Linked DNA regions of Neodiprion lecontei. The protein of the gene in region 1 interacts with the protein of each later gene in a pairwise test. Links are inferred from orthologs where the notes say so. Each region holds a gene or a part of one and is shown in the gene's direction. Other genes may lie near its edges. The genes, in order: S-phase kinase-associated protein 1, F-box/WD repeat-containing protein 7 and F-box only protein 11.

Region 1 (4,356 bases):
GACCACGTATTTAGTTAATTCAATGACTTGTTTCTATTAGTGAAGCCACGAATAAGGTATTTTGCCAGACCCGATGTCCATTGCTAAGATGTTAGTGCCAGAGTTTGACTCGGTCAATATTGATCTAGGAATATTACTCACGTGTGTATAATTTTCAGTTGCAGGAATTTGCTTCAATTAACGAAATTAATACATTATCGGAATGATTGATTGAATTGGACACCGCTGAGAGCAATTCTAACAATGAATTACATGATCTTACGAAGTCACACAAATTGTTGAAATAAAAAATTGGAGAGCTACAAAATCGACGAAAGTTAAATATTTTTTGTGACAACATAGAGTAAAGAATAGGATAAACAGAGAAAGTCTGAGTGTTTTGACCTGAATCTTTCTTTGAATGGTATACATGGAGAGAAAAATTTTATCTAGAGTCTATCGCAACGTGAGACTTTTTTCGGAAAGAGTCGCGAGATTTTAAACAAACATCATTTGAAATATTCGATTCCAGAAGTTTCTGTCAGAAATGTTTTCACGTAAAAACATGTCGCAATTTCTACACTTTCATCGTTTATGATTCCAACTTTAACGGAAGCATAAACTGAATAACTTCATTAAATCGCCAATAACAATTGAAGATATCCCAATAAACCAAAATGAATTGAATAGAATTGAGTAAGTCCGAAAACCGAATTAACTCGATTTGAAGCGAATTGAAAATACTTACATATGTGCGAATTCTTTTGAATTTGTTTTAATTTCTTTTTTCCAATTCATGCCAATTCTGTTTTTGCAGTACTCAATTCGATTTGATTTACTGTGATATCTAATTGCAGGTTTTGCTATCTTCAAACCTAGCTTTTCGTTAATATTGGCACAATAATTTCGTCGCAAGTATAACGTAATGCACGAGTTAAAAATTATTATACAGCTACAGTCGCTGGACAGATATTTCTCTTAAGACTTATTTAATGCGTTTCATTGGGAAGAGCTTCTGGTCCCGTTATAAAGTTGAAGAGGGCGAAGAGCAGCACTTATTTTAACTTATTGTTCGTACTCATTCAGTTGGAGCAATCATGATTAGCTGCTCTACCCTTTTCTAGCTCGACTAACAGACTCAATCAAGAAAGCTTTGTTTTAATTTCATTAATACGCTTCAGTTAGTTTATACTAGACGCGACCAAAATACTTGAATCGTTGATTCTCTCTACGATTCTAGCCCAGTAAACGATCCTTCGCGCTCTTTACACAGACCACGGCGGAAAAATTCCGACAATGGCGATCCGTTCTGGGTCAGCGATTCAATCGGGCTTATTTAGCGTTTTATTACACAGAATAATGCAAAAATTAACGACGTCAGTTCTCTAGGATGGTTATAAAGTTCAAATGCAACGTGCAAGTTTTGTATTTTCTGACATATTGGGACACGGTCATTTTCTTAATTCAAATTTGAATGGAAAAGTCGAATTACGGAAAGTTTATGCTACTTAATAGGATAGAAAGGCTGCAAGTGACTGTTGCGGACTAGGGACTTTTATATAAGCCTAGTTGGTAAATTTGAGACACAGGAGTGAGAAGCGACGCTCATAATTATATATAACCCACTCAATAAATACTTATTCTAAAATACTAAACTATGTGTTATCACTAATATACGGCAGTACCCGCACTTGAAAATTTGAAAAAAACAGATAAAAGCTGTTTTTTCTTCGCTCCATAGTTATTTTGTTTGTGGAATTCAAGCAAAAAAATGTGAGACTTACAGCCATTTTAAATTTCCTTTTCAATTTACTGCTCTTCCAAAATTTTCCGCAATACGTAAACGCAATTCATAGCGCCCTACGCCAGTCGGCTGTTTTCAGCATATTAATTCTTCAAAAATAACAAATTTAAAATCAAATCTCAGTAAAGTATGAGTTTTATTTTCCAAATTGTAAATACTCAACATGAAACACGATGTTTGATCGCTCCAACAACGCTCAGTTTGAAGTGTTCCAATTTTGAAAATTTAAGCACGGTCCTGACTGCCGACAGCGCCATCTATGAGCCGTTGCGCCTGCGTGTTGCTGACTGAAGTTTGTCGTCGATGATCAGAGAGAGATCGCAGGGTGAGCAGAAAGCGAAAAAGAGGGAGGTAGAAACTAAAGACTAGAGAGTGTACTAGAGAGCCTGGCAACGTTACGCTGTGATTCATTATCGGTTTCACACAACGGAGAATTGGAAGTAACTTGAAAGGTAATTCGATAATTTATTTACGGAGCTTCTTGCCTCGGTCAAAACGTTTGTAACAAAACATTCGCTGGGCATTGTTTATCGCCTTGAAGTTGGAAAAGTCGTTGCACGGGAAATCGGCTAATGGACGAATATTCGTTGCCCGCGCATGTTGTTATGATTTATAATTATTCGTCGATTTTCAACACCAGACATGAGCTGCTTTGCATTAAACCCTCCAGGAACGTGTCTTCTCCGCATATTATGACCGGATACGCCCGCCACTAACGTGCCGTCGAATTTTATTGGGTTTATAACCCTTATCCAAAACCTTGGGTCAACGGCGAACCTCATTCTCGCAAGGTTGTTGCCGTGCGCGCCAATATCTTATCCCTGTGGTCGACACTCGCTACCTGACGTTTCCTGCTCGACGTTCTCATCCGTAAAAATTTTACTCGCTGCGGAGAAAGACCGAATATTCTTTTTCGAAATTACACGAAATCAAACGCGTCATTGTCCATGCAGCATTTTTCGTATTCACTTCGTGCGTCGGAATTTTCATAACGTTGTATGACTCAGATTTACAAGTTATAAAAATAAACATACCCTCATACTTTTCGCGGAAATCGATTTTATTTTTCAGTTTTTTTCTACATCAAAAATCTCTGTAATGCTATGCGTAAGCATTTTTCAGTTCAATGCGTTGAAAGAAAATGTTTACGTCCATGTCCCAAACTCAATTCACTCTGTGGTAAACGGACTGAATGACATTGAAATGTAGTTTATACACAGATCGATAACATGGACTAGGAGTTGTTCAAAGACAAAGAAACTTGTACACATAACAATAATAATAGAAGAAGGTCGATTCTTGTACCTGAAATATTGACGTAACTGAACTTATGTTTGTCTTGTTTTTAATCACAGATGCCGAACATAAAGCTGCAGAGTTCGGATGGCGAAGTATTCGACGTGGATGTTGAAATTGCGAAATGTTCAGTCACGATAAAAACCATGCTGGAGGACTTGGGAATGGATGAAGATGAAGATGAAATTGTTCCCCTACCAAATGTTAACTCTGCTATCCTGAGAAAGGTCATTCAATGGGCTACGTATCACAAAGATGATCCACCACCACCTGAAGATGATGAAAACAAGGAGAAGCGAACTGACGACATCAGCTCTTGGGATGCTGATTTTTTGAAGGTCAATTTTGCATTCAATCAAAATGCTAATATTATAATTAATAAGAGACACATTCCTTTCATTTGAAAATTTTCTTTGACAATTTTTCACTCTTAAACATCTTTGAAACGTAGTCTGTGCAAGATTCATTATAGTTTTAACGACAGCTACTAATTTGCTTCGTTTTATTTATTTACAGGTTGATCAAGGAACCTTATTCGAACTGATTTTGGCAGCAAATTACTTGGACATCAAAGGACTTCTAGATGTAACGTGCAAGACTGTGGCAAACATGATAAAGGGAAAAACACCAGAAGAAATCCGTAAGACGTTCAATATAAAGAACGATTTTACAGCTTCAGAAGAGGAGCAGGTTCGCAAGGAGAATGAATGGTGCGAAGAGAAGTAGAAAGAATCCGAGGAGGGACGAAAGAAATGCTTTCTAAATCATCTGTAACTGTAGGTTTATCGCGTGTTAAATCTGAAGATGTCTTTCGCAAACTCAAATTTCAAGCTTGTCGCAACAGAAAAACTCACCCTCTGAAAAATTTAGCAATAATGGAATATTCCTGTTCCAGCCGAGTTTCTCCATTTGCGTACAATATCCCTAATTCGAAATTAGAAATACCAGCAACAATTGCTTGGAGAAATAAATTTTTGCAGCTGATATGAATATTTTCTAGGTATGCTGGCTACGTTAATAGAAAGATTTACATTCTGGATACAATTTCTTTCGGTCTGTTTTCACTCTCTAATGGAAAACATGATTTTTCGGTTTAACGATCCATACCACGAAAGTATTAATTTAACAATAGCACGATTAATTTCTGTGTATAATTAACCAAGTATAACTTCAGTCTATTTAAATATCAATATCTTCGAAATCTGTTATATCTGCATCTCATCTGTGAAGCTTTGATCTTCTTCCTTTAGTCCAATCTCTTGTGAATACGTGTATCG
Region 2 (7,651 bases), on another chromosome or scaffold:
GTACCAGGAGGCTGGAATAAATATAAACATATATAGTGGGAATACATAACAAATGATACAAAAATATACATATAACATAAATTGAAGGGTTTTGGGTCTGAAACTTACGCCAAAGAGCAGAATGCCTTTCCATGGGATACGTTTCCCAGTAAACAGATGTGGGAAACGAATGGGCAAGATAACAGCCTCTTTTAGAGCTTCCTTAGCAAGGTCCAACCCTGCGACATCACTCCACTTTACTTGTGGTTTCTCAATTACTATTGCCCCTTCCAATTTGCTTTGTAATTTCTTTTTTTCTGGATCGCTGTCACTGTCGCTATCCCCACTGTCACCCTTTTTATCATCGCTTTTAGAATTACTCTCTCCATCTTTGACCGGTTTCTTTTTTCCCTTCTTTAGATATTCCTTCAGCTTCTCAGCTCGGTCCAGGTATTGTAAACACTTTGTCCTAATGCTTTCCTTGGCCCGTTCTCCCTGAGCCTCATCTGAAAACAAGTTTGATTGGTGAAATGAAGCGAAGTTGAATGAAGTGAACATTGAATAAAGTGTTTGCATTTTGAAAACAAAGTCAACAAATATGTATTTGAGAAAACTTATTCATGCCACAGAAGTGAATTGGAAGAAGAATCGAGAGTCTGAGGCATGTAAATACTGATGATGTGTACATTTGATTGAATGAAGAAAGTATTCAACGCCGTGTTCATAGTGCTTCAGAGCCTCTTCATAGTTTTTGTTCCGATCTTCCTCGGTGGCCTTGGTAACCAGGTCTATGGCTTTCTGTATTTATACGGGTAGAAAACGAGAATAATTGGTCAATTGAAAATATCCAGGCTTAAAATTTGAGGAAACCTTCCCAATAGTTAGTACCTGTAATGTTGTTCCTGCTGCCATTTTATTGTGAAATGGCTCCTCCCTAACCTTAGCTCACCAGAGTGAAGTATGCGGAATTCAAGAAAGTCTTGAACTGATGATATTAATGCTGTTTTATACACGTGCAAAAAAAGCTCAGTTATCCATAAATAAATTATCGAACGCACGTTGCGTAAACTGCCTCGATCGCTCTCGATTGGAGAAGTTTGCTGTTCTGTCAAATTTTTAACCTTCAAAATTTAGGTCTCTGACGTCACTGACGGTGACTCCTACTCTACCATTACCATGACCCTACCACCGCTGCATCGGGACTATCAAGGCAAAAAAAACCTTGGGCGATCTCATTTGAACGCAGCTTTGGCGTCCTCTCACGGAGTTCCGGGTGAACTAGTCGTGTAGAGATGTGGAAATGAGCACTGATCTCGTGAGCCCCAAATCATAAACCGACACTAGCGCTACAATACCCGAAGTTAAACTAACGGGTCACCCGGGTGATAGTCTATCAGAAACAGATTTAGTCACATGGTCTTGTCACTTTAACCAATGACATACGCAATAAACCACGTGATTCGTTAGTTCCACTAAGGCTATTGAGGCGCTGGTATCGATTTCGTCTGCTTCTGATCGAATCAAAAGGGCCTAGGTCGCTAGTCACTAGTCAGCCATCCAGTTAGTACAGAGATCAGTGGAAACGCGGCTAGAGTGTGTTGAGAACGTGGTCTTTTAACCGAAGTAAACGCATGTGCAAAGGCATCGTGCGAAGCACGGAGTTCGAAGGGAACAACTTCGGTTCGTCGATGGATCCTACGCCGTGTTTATCAGCGTTTATTGTTTTTATTTGCAGAGTTTAGTGGTGGAATAATAATTGTGGGGAATAAATTTGCGAGATTATAACCTAACCGAGGTGTACCATACGAGAAATGCGTGCCGTGTGTAGTTGATAGAAAATTAATTACAACCCCGAACAAGTTGGGACGTCTCGCGCGAGGCGAGACACTGAATAAACCCGTACCGCTGAAGGAAGGCAGAGAAGTGGAAATCAGTCGACCATGTATGAACCTATTTGATTTTTTCCACACTTCTTTCACCGCCGTTTTGCATCTAGCCATTTTATCGAGTGGTAAATCGCTCCCTGCTTCCCAGGGTGTGGCAAACCGGCCCTTTGTTACATTTTCTCTTAAAGGCTATCTTCAAAATGGCAAGTTCTACTTGTGCTCTTTTTCAAGGTTAGGGTTTACCTCAATTGTAGTTCGAATTATCATCCGTGTATTTCATCCGTGTGATTTTTATCACACACCTCAATTCACCTCTCTTACCATTTTCACATATTTTCTTTAACCTCCATTAAAATCTAATTCAATTCATTAATACCTCCGACTGATTATTATTATGTATCAATTGCTTTCATTTCATTTCGAACCAATATCATGACCATACTTGTCGTCGATCACAGGTGTAGCATAAACAAGTTTCTTTTCATAACTGTGGCTCAAATTAGGAGCAATATTGCAAATTGGAAGCTTTTCATTTTTAATAGCAGTGATTTGGAGCTCTTAACTTTCATTTAATATTTACTCTATCTCAAAGAATTCTCTAGCGGCAGTGGCTGTGCAAAATTAGCTCGATATGTTATTTTAGTATGAAACATCTTTTTACCGTCCAAACATTACACAGCAAAAGATTAATATGACGACTGTTTGACCTAGAGAATCTCACTCCAATATAATGCTTTCAATTTTCTGGGCCTGTGATAACGCCAGAACTCAGTGATGTCTACCCCTTCGTCGTCGTCCAAGGCGTTAGGAGGAGAAAAACCAGGAGGTACAAGCCCTAGTCCCGTTGAAGGTGTTGAAGGTGTTCCAGGACCAAGTACACTAGATCCTCTGCAATCCGCACTTGTGCACGATGGGGAGTCTGAGGATTATGGAGAAGAAGGCGAGGAAGAAGAAGAGGATAGTATGGATGAAGAAAGCGAGGTAGATAAGAGAAGAGCATTGTAAATACAAAAGTATGTTGTCGTTACTCTGCTTATTTAAAACTTTCTTTTCATCAATGTTCAGACAAGTGATGGGGGCATGTATTGCGATGCCGAATGTGGAGAAGAGAATGATGCCAACGACTGCCATTCGTTATCGTTGCAATCATCGCCGACATTACCACCGAGACCTCTTAGTCCCATACTTCACACATGTGTTCCACTAGACGCAGTACAGCCTCAGAGGAAACGTAAAAGCGAAGCTGAGTCTACACTGCCCTGTAAAAAGCTTAACCCAGAGGAAAAGACTTATATTATGTGAGTAGTTTGAACTTGTTACATTTTTTGTTTTTTTGAAATTCAATATGGTACATACAATTGTTTAACAATGCCAATTTGCTTGCAACAGGGAGATATAATTGTGTTAGATCATTGTAAACTATTTTTAATTTTAACTAATTTTGTAGGGTTGTGAAACGGGTTGACGACAAAGGGAAGCATGTGAGAAGCATCATTCCGACCCGAGACAATCCCCCACCTGAAATGAGCAGTTGGTTATTACAGTTTCAGGTAAGTGGTGAAGACTGTGGAGTTTATGTTATTAATGACAATTGACCTTTGAGTAAAATAAATTGTTACAGAGATGGTCAAATGCAGAAAGGATGTTGGCTATTGATGAGCTAATAGAAAGATGCGAACCAACCCAAGTTCGGCATATGATGCAAGTCATCGAACCACAATTTCAGAGGGACTTTATTTCGTTACTCCCTAAAGAGTTGGCATTGTCAGTCTTAGCCTTCTTAGAACCAAGAGATTTATTGCGAGCCGCGCAAACATGCAGAAATTGGCGCTTTCTTGCAGATGACAATCTATTGTGGAAAGAAAAATGCCGAGCAACCGGGATAGAAGACCTTAAAGATCTACCTACGCCAAAACGTAAAAATAGTCGAAATTCAAATAGTTGCTCCTCGCCATGGAAGCAGGCGTATATGAGGCAGCATAACATAAAAATGAATTGGAGAACTAAACCGATTCGTACACCCAAAGTCTTAAAGGGTCACGACGATCATGTCATTACCTGTCTCCAGTTTTCTGGCAATCGAATTGTCAGTGGCTCAGACGACAATACCCTCAAAGTTTGGTCTGCTGTTACAGGAAAGGTAATTCAAATGTTTTAAACTCTATTTCCCGTACTTTGTAACAATTTTAAATTATTCTTTGTCAAGTACCTACTTTATAAAATACTGTATTCGGTAAAATTCATATGATTATTTTGTTAGACCCAAGTATTCTGTACGATTTTGTTATAAATTACAAAATTTTATGTTTGATATTGTATCACATCCTATCTAGTCCTATGTTGAATGTTGCGATATTACTTTGTTTAAAAATACTGGGATTTTTTCACATTCATTTCTATTGCACCATTTTTAAAGCATCTAAATAATGTTCATAGACGTACCCGCTATGAAATAAGAACATTGCTCCATATAAAACACGCAGAAGCAAGCACCCTCGATATAAAAATAAAACCACATCAATTTTATGTCAACAGTGTTTAAGAACACTGGTTGGGCATACGGGTGGTGTCTGGTCCTCACAGATGTCTGGTACTACAGTAATCAGTGGGAGCACAGACCGCACCTTAAAGGTTTGGAACGCAGAGACGGGCCAGTGCATACATACGCTTTACGGTCACACATCGACAGTAAGGTGTATGCACCTCCATGGCAACAAGGTGGTCAGTGGCAGCAGAGACGCTACACTAAGGGTGTGGCAAGTTGATACAGGGGAGTGTCTCCATGTTTTGGTCGGACATCTCGCAGCTGTTAGATGCGTGCAATATGATGGAAAACTCGTGGTCAGTGGGGCTTATGACTATATGGTCAAAGTATGGAATCCTGAACGAGAAGAGTGCCTTCACACACTGCAAGGACATACCAATCGCGTTTATTCCCTTCAAGTAAGAGCTTTTGGAAGAAATCATTGCAGTTTAACTTTATGTAATAGGTGTAATATTTAGTATTATTATCCGAAACAATTTAAAATGTTCTTAGCAAATAGCTGCTGCGGTATAATTACATCATTTAATAGTAATTGCTATTTCCTCTTGTCTCGTTTAGTTTGACGGTATCCATGTGGTGAGTGGATCGTTGGACACGAGCATTAGGGTATGGGAAGTTGAGACGGGAGCGTGTAGGCACACCCTGATGGGTCATCAGTCTCTTACTTCGGGCATGGAGCTCCGTAACAATATTCTTGTATCTGGTAATGCCGATTCTACAGTCAAAGTTTGGGATATTGTTAGTGGGCATTGTCTGCAAACTCTTTCCGGGCCAAACAAACATCAATCCGCAGTTACCTGTCTGCAGTTTAACAGTCACTTTGTGATTACATCCTCTGATGACGGGACTGTCAAACTGTGGGATGTTAAGACTGGTGGGTCTCATCTCTTTGCTCAAAGCAATGTCACAATATCAGAGCTACCGCATTGGAACCGAACTGTAAAATGATATTTGTTTTAAAACGTGATTTTAGGAGACTTCATAAGAAATCTTGTGGCTCTGGAGAGTGGGGGTAGTGGAGGTGTAGTTTGGAGAATTCGAGCAAGCGATACGAAGCTGGTGTGTGCCGTGGGCAGTCGTAATGGTACCGAGGAAACCAAACTGCTGGTTCTTGACTTTGACGTAGAGGCCAAATAGTCTTCCCGTCTTTGGGCGAGACGACGCCTCTATGTGACTTCTGTACATACTATAATTAGGTAGCATAACCAATCTACTGTACAATGTTCATGTATTACATGGTGTGATTGTGATAAGACTGCATGAAATTATTGTGAAGGGAGTTCTAAAATGAGCGTTAGGTTCTTCACAATGAATATTTGTTGATTGTGGGTCGTACGTACTGCAAAGTACAAATATAAAATTCAAATCTTACGGCAAATTGCGGAATATTAGGAGCTATCGAAGTTATTACGCAATTGTTGGACAATTCAGGATAAATCTTATCAACGGATTCATACTGTTCTGAAAGAATTCAATTATTGGCATGTACATATTATGTCCTAAGAGGAAGCAAGATCTTAAAGGTTTACTGCGCTAATCAGCTCAGTTTATAGAACAATTTACAGAATTACCCCGTGCTGAGAAATCGCTGTAATCAAAATTTCCATTCACACAGAGCTGAGCTGTGCCCCATTTATTTGAATTGAAATAAAGTTGATTTCGTTTCTTCTCACAACTCAATGTGAAACTTGTGCAACTCATCAAAACTTTAACGTAAAACCTAGTTTTTTTTGTTTTTTTTTATCGAATCATTGAAGAAATATCGTAAGGAATTAAAATTAGCGACTTTGTATGTACAAAGTTTGGCATTTTTTCTCTAGATTGACTTCTTCGCTCTTATCATATATATGATGGAACAAAACCACTTACTCGTTCGATAGTAATAAATGGGACACAGTGCACTTGACAAGTCCGCAAAAACTGCCCTGAGATCTAGTATGTCACGTTAACATACGTTAAGTTGAACTAAAGTACAACGAAAATAATGGCCAGAAATATTAAAAAACAGTACGAAAACATTCTAAAAAAAAAATTAAAGGTCTTTGCTATTCGCCGATTCACTTTTTCTTCACCGGGCAACCGCAGCAGCGCAAAATTTGTTACAATATATCAGTTTCAAATATACGAGACTTACCTGATGTTATCTGGGTATTTAGAATGCTATGCCGGGTTGAAAAGTCATATTTTATCGCACAAAATATATGTATATATATTTATGAAATATATATATATATTTTGTTCCCACGTATCATCCTCAGATAGGAATAGGTCGAGAATTGGTGCATATATACATATATACATACATACATATATATATATATATGTATGTATGTATGTATGTATGTATCAAAATTGAATCAATAACGCATATCTTCTGGACCTTGTGATCTTCAATGATAAGATTATAGCATGAGTACAACAAAATGCATGATTTGTGTGCTAGAATTTGACTTGGAATTAATAATGTGGACACTCAGAAAGCAAACATTTTTCAATCTATGCCAGTAAAGCAATAATTGTTGATTGATTTTTTTTTTTCCTCCTTTGTCTTTATAAATTCTGTTGAATTATTTTGAACGAAAGTGGAAACGAGTGAATGATTAGGGCATTATTATTTTCGAAAGAATTATAGATTTCGTTAATTTTATCAATTACTATTTATTGCTGTTAAATTAATTCGCATCGGGATCTAGGTATTGAATACGGCGATTGTTAATTTGAAAGAGAATATTCCTCTTGTGAATATCGCCTGGAAGAATAAAAAGAATTTTTTTTAATCTTGTAGAAATTTATTGTTTCATTTGTATTTACATTTGGAAAATGCCGTGCTAGAAATAATATTAGTATTTTACAATCAACGATGATCTCTTAAATGGATCAAATTGCACAGCAATACCTACGACTAACATACTATTTATCAAAGAAGATTTAAAAAAACCGTCGGGTTCTACAGGCATTTAGAATCTACCTTCTAGCCATCCCTAGATTATTATATTAAATCTTGTCACGTATCTTATGCGCATAAAATTGACTGATTAGTAATTCCTTGGCTGCTAAAAGTTCATAATTACCGTATTGAGTGAGACATGTTCATAACACGAATCGAACACGGCGTACACTCCAGCCTATACTTTATATTTAAGATGGATCCCAGCTAATTCAAAGTTACTTAAACAGAAAATAGAAAATAAAATTCGGATTCAACGGAATCTATGAAGGATCTGTAATGCTTTTGTTGAAC
Region 3 (7,785 bases), on another chromosome or scaffold:
CGATGAAATACAAAACTTACACTAGCATTTCTAGTTCAAATGATGTACCGAAATACTCACTGCATAACTTAAGAGCATCTTGAAATTTTACACCCGCCCTGATCATTTCAATAACGTGATGAAAATGTGCAACGCCAAAGAACAATGGGCATATGAAAATAGCGGTAGTAGGTTTATAACACTCTAGAAGTAGCGGAAGCATACAGGCTCTGAAAGTCCATTCCTCGGATAAAGGAGCGACAATTCGGTTCCGCCACCATATGAGCGATCTAATATTTTTTGTAGAGTGCATGGGTGCTGCAAAGGTGAAATTGAAAACAAAGTTGAATCAATTGTTCGTTAACATATGAAAATTTTATATTTAGCGTTCCCAAACTCACCGGCGTATAATTTCCATGGCCCATTCAGTGCCTGGACACTCAGTGGCCCCAAGAACAATATCATGGTTAAAAGGAGCGGTAAAACAGCCGCTTGAAATAAACCGACCAATTTTATGCCCAGCAGTTCCCAAATGGTAGTCTGAAGTTGGTTTAATTATTTACATGTGATGTTGCTCAAAAACAGTGCCAATGAAACGAAATAACGTACCTTTTGTAACATGGATCTGCTTATTCCAAAGTATACGAATAACGGGGACACAAACATCATGATAAAGGCGCTGAGAAATCTTTTTTTAATCGTCTCATTATGCTCTCTGTAAAAAATAGATTATAGTTCATCTCCATTTCCTCTATAGTTCCTCCCCATAAGTTTGAGATCAATTTTTCAGCGCGCGTCGGGAAATCGAAGTTCGAATTATCGGGAAGAAACGCGGAGCGCCGATGCGACAATGTGGGAGGGGGGGAGTTTTTCGTCGATTTCTTTGACTCTTGTTGAATGAAAATTAAACAACAGTGTGCGATGTGTAGAGGCTTCCGGGGGAGGGGGGAGGCTGGCTGGCTTTCCAAGGGCTAGTGGGTGCAACCTGATTTGGACGAGTTTAGCAGTACGCGCGTCGATTCCCGCATTCGTACCGTGTGCGTGTCGCGTGCGTGCTGCGATTATGACGATTGAACGACGCGGAGTGTCGTTAAAAGTAAAACGAATGTTGTAGGGGAACGAGTAAATGAAAGTCGACGCGACAAAAGCCAAGCGAGGCTTTCATCGGCCATGAAAATTTACTCATAGTTGATCGTGAAAATTTGTGCACCGACAGACGAGTTAGACGGGGGCCCGAGCAAGAATCCGGCGGCTCTCTGGGGCACGAAACAGTTATACATTTTCTTCGTGGTCCGTTGTTAAAGGGCTAGTTCTATGTATGTACATACATCGTGCGGCTGAGGCGCGAGGGCGTAACGATGATATACGCAGCTACGGGTAGGCTCGCGAATTAATTTTACCTATGGTACGGCGAATTCCATATGTAGAGACTGGCTACGTAGACGACAGATAACGTGAAACATGACAAAATCGCGGTGGTGCGAGAAAAATCTGTATTTTCCTCGGTCTCCACCATACTGACGTTCGTTGAATCACGTGACACGCTATAGCGGATAAAATCGTGTCCGATTGGCAGTCGCGCAGTAGTCGTCCGTGTAGTGAGAAGATGGCCGCCGTGCTCGATGGATGTGTCGCCATTGTTTAGTGTATAGTTTTTCCCCGTTTTTCTTATAAAATAATCGGGATACACCTAACTTCAAGATGCCGAGCGCGTCATTCACATCGTCACGTAGCTACGTCCGCAGATCCCGGAGGAAAGGCGCCAACAGAATCCCGTTACCCTCTAGAACAACATCGGGTATGTAATAGAACGGGGCTATAGGCGGCTGCTGCTACTGCTGCTCCTCGTAAGGTTCGCGGCTTAGCTCGCTCGGCTCGTCGTTCAGCTTGCGTTTCGCTCCGACTCCTTTCCTGCCTACTCAACTAACATCGATTCTCCTCTTTCCTATTCTCATCGTCTATTCTCATTGTACGATCTATTATTAAATATTATCCAATGTCATTTCTCCGATTACCAACGAGTTCGTACAATATCCGATTTGCATGGACATTTGTCACACTATGTACCTACTTACATGCATACGATCATACTACTACTAAATCGGCATTCCCTCCCTAATCTCGATTACAACGAGCAGAAAAATTAATATACTACATATGCAGCAAAGCATATTATGCGTATCTACATACATACGTGTGTATCGATGTAACGTGAAAGAGCAACAAAGAGAAAAGCTCCCCAAAAATGTCGATTATCATCATCCACACCCAGAGGTGTACCCGACGTAACTATATTTATTTGACGTCTATTCCATTTATACCAAGCTACTTTACCCTTCTGGAGTGTCATATAAATATTCACGGTGCATGGATTATTCGATTTTCCTAACTGGAATTTCAGAATCGTGTAATCCGGCATTTTTAAATGCCAATCATGTCACGTGAAATCGATCACAATTAATATTAATTTGCCATACAAAAACTATACAATTATGAAACAATAAGAAAACGCTGCTTCTGTCTTAATTCTAGGTAGCGTGTGTCTGCAACGAAAAACGTCTGTATGCTAATGAATTTTTTAGCATATGCTGTAGTTACAGCAGATGTGCCACAGAATTCAATTTCATTTATGTTAAATTTCCACTATCTATACATTGTGCCACTACAGCTTTGGACAGTGGATTGAAATATATTTCAATGTATAAAAATAACCTTTCCATTGCGTTATTCCTTGATGTAAGAGATTTACACTTCCCATTGTTGCTGCTGTGTTTTTTATCTGCGCTGCTCTAAGAACAACGTTCTACGTGTGTGTGTGTTTTTTTTTTTCCCCATACATAACTTATGGTTATCTCATCTTATTCACTGAGGACTATGAATTAAATAAGAAAATTCATTTGCCTTGTAGGGACAAGATTAACTTCAAATCTCTATATTGAAAAATTCTATCATCGTGGATACGTGTTCTACAATCGCCAGAGACGCCGTCAATATTCAAGAAGCCTGATCGGTGCTTCCTAAGTTATAAAATTTATAATATTTATGAAACTGATTTACCTATTGAAATGATTCGATCTAATTTTGTATGATGATCAAAATAGTGATGGTTTTTTTTTATGAAAGTTCAATTATCGAATAAATCGGTGCAAAACTTATCGCATTAGAGCCAAGTCGTGTGCTCATACAAGAACAAGCAAGACGAGATGGAGAGACCAGTTCTTTTCTTTAAATATTTATTTTATAAATATTTGAAATCCATAGCTGCATCAATATCCTTCAAATATTAAGATTTAAAAATTTCATGCTCACTTTCTCAGCCGAACCATGCGAGCTACCGTGTCCAGCTTCAAATCCAATTCCTTCAGGAGGCGGGGGTGTAGGAGGAGGCAGAGGATCTTCGCCTAGTGTTTCGGGGATAGCCGCCCCTTCTCCGTCTCATTCGCACTCGTCACCCTACGATCTTCGCCGTAAGAGTCCCCCGCATCCGGATCCTGCACCTGGCACGAGTTCAGCACTACCACCTCCCGGAGGAAGCAGTATCGCCGCTGCTCTTGGAACCTCATCTTTACCAGCCAGAAAGCGACCTAGGAGAACGTGCTCACTTTCAACCGATGGTAGGCAATGAATTGTTCTTCTTTTCTTCAAATAAAGATTACAAATCTTTTCTTTTACTCGCCATCGATGTAAAACTGTATTGCATTATATTGCTGAGCAGGAGTTTAGCAATTGTCACACTGAACCTGGCTGCTAGCTTCAGCTTCATTAGCAAACTTTCAACTTAATCCGATTATACATGTATTCTCTTTTTCAACTCTGTGTTAACACTGAGGTTACTTAATCGCTTTTACCTTATTTCAAACTAAACATAAATTGAAGGGGTAATGTTTAAATGATCACTAGAGGAAAATTGAAAATCAATTCGTACTTTTTCATTATATTTCTAAAAATATTCATTTATTTATTTCACTCTGCGGTAGGCACAAATACAAACACAGCTGCACACTACCTACAGTACGAGTTGCCGGATGAGGTGCTGCTGACGATATTCAACTACTTAATGGAACAAGATTTGTGCCGTGTCTCGCAAGTGTGTAAACGTTTTCAAGCGATTGCGAATGACACGGAATTGTGGAAGTCGTTGTATCAGCAAGTTTACGAGTATGATTTGCCACTGTTTAATCCGGCACCTTGTAAATTCGAATTTATCTCGCCGGACGAATCGGATTATTCGAACCCCTGGAAAGAAAGTTTTCGACAGTTGTACAGAGGAGTGCACGTCAGGCCTGGTTTTCAGGATCTTAAATTCAAGGGTAGAAATCTCCCATATTTCAACACTGTACAAGGGGCTTTAGACTTTGTTGAAGAATATAGGAGTAGCAATGGATCGACGCCAAATGCGAACTCAACTACCAATGTTCAAGGTAACTGTTGCATCAATAATTCGCAAGGCACCGAGGAAACGCCCCTGCACCTAGTATTTTTACATGCCGGGACATACCGTGGTGAATTTCTCATCATTGACTGCGACGTAGCTTTGATAGGAGCTGCCGCAGGCAACGTCGCCGAGTCTGTTATTTTAGAAAGAGAATCAGAATCGACAGTCATGTTCGTTGAAGGTGCTAAACGCGCGTACGCAGGCCACCTCACTCTCAAATTCACACCTGATGTAACCAGCACTGTACAACATCATAAACATTACTGTTTGGAAGTAGGCGAAAATTGTAGTCCAACGGTCGATCACTGCATTATTCGTAGTTCGAGCGTCGGTAAGTTGTTCAGATTGACACGAAACTCTCCAACCTTGACACTATTGTCCCTCATTGATATTAATATATGAATTTTGATTAAACAGTTGGAGCAGCGGTCTGTGTGTCGGGTGTTGGGGCAAATCCTGTGGTGAAAAATTGCGACATATCTGACTGCGAAAACGTTGGCCTGTATGTAACGGACTATGCCCAAGGCACCTATGAGGACAACGAAATATCCCGAAATGCACTGGCGGGGATTTGGGTGAAAAACTACGCGAATCCGATTATGAGAAGAAATCACATCCACCACGGTAGAGATGTTGGGATATTTACGTTTGATAACGGCCTAGGATACTTTGAGGCGAATGATATTCATAATAATCGAATCGCTGGTTTTGAAGTCAAAGCGGGTGCTAATCCGACCGTTGTGCACTGCGAGATACATCATGGTCAAACGGGCGGCATATACGTTCATGAGAACGGTCTTGGACAATTCATCGACAACAAAATTCACTCGAACAATTTTGCTGGCGTTTGGATAACATCAAATTCTAATCCAACGATTCGTAGAAATGAAATATACAATGGTCATCAAGGTGGGGTTTACATATTTGGCGAAGGCCGTGGCCTTATAGAGCATAATAACATTTACGGCAATGCTCTCGCCGGGATACAAATCCGGACGAACTCAGATCCGATTGTCCGACACAACAAAATTCACCATGGACAACATGGTGGTATATATGTTCATGAAAAAGGTCAAGGTTTGATCGAGGAAAACGAAGTTTACGCCAATACGTTGGCCGGGGTTTGGATAACGACGGGATCAACTCCAGTTTTAAGAAGGAATCGAATCCACAGTGGCAAACAGGTCGGAGTTTATTTCTATGACAATGGTCATGGGAAATTGGAAGACAATGATATTTTCAATCATTTGTATTCTGGAGTACAGATTAGGTATGATTTGAGACTGAGAATTTCGTTATTTATGCTACGTATAACAAATTATTGACAAAGATTCTTCCTTTCAGGACTGGGAGCAATCCTGTCATTAGAGGGAACAAAATATGGGGTGGACAAAACGGTGGAGTCCTCGTGTACAATAGCGGTCTAGGCCTTTTAGAACAGAATGAAATTTTCGACAATGCCATGGCAGGTGTTTGGATTAAAACTGACAGTAATCCAACGTTAAAAAGGAATAAAATATTCGATGGAAGAGATGGCGGAATTTGTATATTCAATGGGGGAAAAGGTTTGTACCCTGAACTCATTTGTATGTGTACTTTCGGAATTAAGCCTCACTGTTTTAACTTTGTCCAAATAACAGGTATACTCGAAGAGAACGACATATTCCGAAATGCGCAGGCTGGAGTTCTAATTTCAACCCAATCGCATCCAGTCCTTAGGAGAAATCGTATTTTTGATGGATTAGCCGCAGGAGTCGAGATAACGAACAACGCGACCGCCACATTGGAGTTCAATCAGATCTTCAACAACCGATTTGGAGGTCTTTGTCTCGCCAGCGGAGTTCAGCCAACAACTAGAGGTAAAGGTCGAGCCGATTCCATACTTTTTTTCCTTATGGTTTGCAAAGATTATGCACTGCCAGTTAATCTCCTCGATAATCGTAATTCTTACATTACGTTTTATGCCCTGTAGGTAATAAGATATTCAACAATCAAGACGCAGTGGAGAAAGCTGTCGGTAATGGCCAATGTCTTTACAAAATTTCATCGTACACGTCGTTCCCGATGCATGACTTTTACCGTTGTCAAACGTGCAATACGACAGATCGTAATGCTATCTGTGTAAATTGTATAAAAACCTGTCACGCTGGCCACGACGTAGAATTCATCCGGCACGATAGGTGAGTAGTATTATTTTATTTGAAAACCCCCGAAATCATGGCTCCATTTCAGGCGATTCTCCCGAGCGTCTCACCAACGAATACATTCCACATTCTCAGTACCAAAAATTCTTGTGCACAGATTTTTTTGCGACTGTGGAGCTGGAACCTTGAGTAACCAGTGTCAGCTGCAGGGTGAGCCGACGCAGGACACCGATACTTTATATGATAGTGCTGCACCCATGGAGTCACACACGCTCATGGTCAACTAGATGTAGCTAAAATGAACCAACTGGTCCCAAATCCGTAAGTTAGATGGATCCGTTGAGATAAACGTGCAGTAATAACAATAGTAATCTGTTGTCGAGTTCTTTGATATCATTATTATTATTATTAAACTCATGAAAATCCCAATATCGACAGAGTTATTGGCAAACTGAATAATTAAAGCTTTACCAAATTCCAAATGACATACCCAACTATTGGAAAGACCGTGCGATTCCTACTATTTTACTAATTATTTCTTGTTAAATTTCACTGAACACTTATTTTCATCTTCACATGAATTTTACCATTTTTAATGTTTTTATTTATTTACAATAGATTATACGCGTACGCGTATTTAATTCCAATAACTTTGTTATATCGTATGTCTAAATACAGCATTGTATTCTTTCAACCAAAAGTTGTGCATTATCAATGGTATTGAGACACATTAAGAGAAGAACAGCTACCAAAACCAAGAGCTCCTCTCAGTTGTTGCTTCTCTTGATAGTCGAATAAAATATTTGTATATAAGCATAATTTGAATACAAGTAGAGATTTATTGGTATATACAAGAACATTGAAATTTACATTGTCGTTAACACGCAACGAATGGTTGTTGGTTATATGATGCTAAAATTTTCTAAATTTTACATAAACGTTTCAAAATATAATAACGATGATGAAGAACTCTGTCGCAGTCAGTTTTGTATCCATAAAAATAAAATACCTAATTGCACAATGAGAAAAATATCGAGTTTGAAAACTGAAAACTGAACTGATACACATGACGCAGCCTGAGGTAGCTAATTCCTTCTAAACATAATGAAAAACGATAAGTGAATGCAAAAGAAGGGAAACTGAAACAAAAGAACAACAGAAAACATAACTCATCAATATTAATTAAAAGTGTATGTATCATACCTATGCAAGCACGTTTCTTAATGA

What was found.
Region 2: the proteins of S-phase kinase-associated protein 1 (region 1) and F-box/WD repeat-containing protein 7 interact in binary tests that used the Caenorhabditis elegans proteins (3 or more experiments, as listed by UniProt). The link is inferred for Neodiprion lecontei from reciprocal best matches to the Caenorhabditis elegans genes skr-1 and sel-10.
Region 3: the proteins of S-phase kinase-associated protein 1 (region 1) and F-box only protein 11 interact in binary tests that used the Caenorhabditis elegans proteins (3 or more experiments, as listed by UniProt). The link is inferred for Neodiprion lecontei from reciprocal best matches to the Caenorhabditis elegans genes skr-1 and dre-1.

The regions. Positions count from the first base shown.
Region 1 is NC_060265.1:8,168,430-8,172,785, forward strand, and holds S-phase kinase-associated protein 1, read left to right. Parts: upstream 1-2,085; 5' UTR 2,086-2,235; intron 2,236-3,138; coding exon 3,139-3,417; intron 3,418-3,595; coding exon 3,596-3,805; 3' UTR 3,806-3,824; downstream 3,825-4,356. UniProt on the Caenorhabditis elegans protein: Probable essential component of SCF (SKP1-CUL1-F-box protein) E3 ubiquitin-protein ligase complexes, which mediate the ubiquitination and subsequent proteasomal degradation of target proteins.
Region 2 is NC_060261.1:2,648,258-2,655,908, reverse strand, and holds the start of F-box/WD repeat-containing protein 7, read left to right. Parts: upstream 1-1,606; 5' UTR 1,607-1,921; intron 1,922-2,576; 5' UTR 2,577-2,639; coding exon 2,640-2,846; intron 2,847-2,930; coding exon 2,931-3,163; intron 3,164-3,312; coding exon 3,313-3,415; intron 3,416-3,486; coding exon 3,487-4,005; intron 4,006-4,400; coding exon 4,401-4,808; intron 4,809-4,968; coding exon 4,969-5,284; intron 5,285-5,383; coding exon 5,384-5,547; 3' UTR 5,548-7,651. Other genes in the region: vacuolar protein sorting-associated protein 4, read right to left, coding at 1-11, 109-485, 666-777, 868-891. UniProt on the Caenorhabditis elegans protein: Probable substrate recognition component of SCF (SKP1-CUL-F-box protein) E3 ubiquitin-protein ligase complex, which mediates the ubiquitination and subsequent proteasomal degradation of target proteins.
Region 3 is NC_060263.1:333,325-341,109, reverse strand, and holds the start of F-box only protein 11, read left to right. Parts: upstream 1-1,674; 5' UTR 1,675-1,680; coding exon 1,681-1,777; intron 1,778-2,887; coding exon 2,888-2,989; intron 2,990-3,296; coding exon 3,297-3,593; intron 3,594-3,956; coding exon 3,957-4,745; intron 4,746-4,831; coding exon 4,832-5,684; intron 5,685-5,758; coding exon 5,759-5,979; intron 5,980-6,054; coding exon 6,055-6,273; intron 6,274-6,386; coding exon 6,387-6,594; intron 6,595-6,715; coding exon 6,716-6,845; 3' UTR 6,846-6,879; exon of another isoform or gene 6,880-7,785. Other genes in the region: CAAX prenyl protease 2, read right to left, coding at 61-297, 381-519, 589-694, 1,380-1,495. UniProt on the Caenorhabditis elegans protein: Substrate recognition component of a SCF (SKP1-CUL1-F-box protein) E3 ubiquitin-protein ligase complex which mediates the ubiquitination and subsequent proteasomal degradation of target proteins including blmp-1.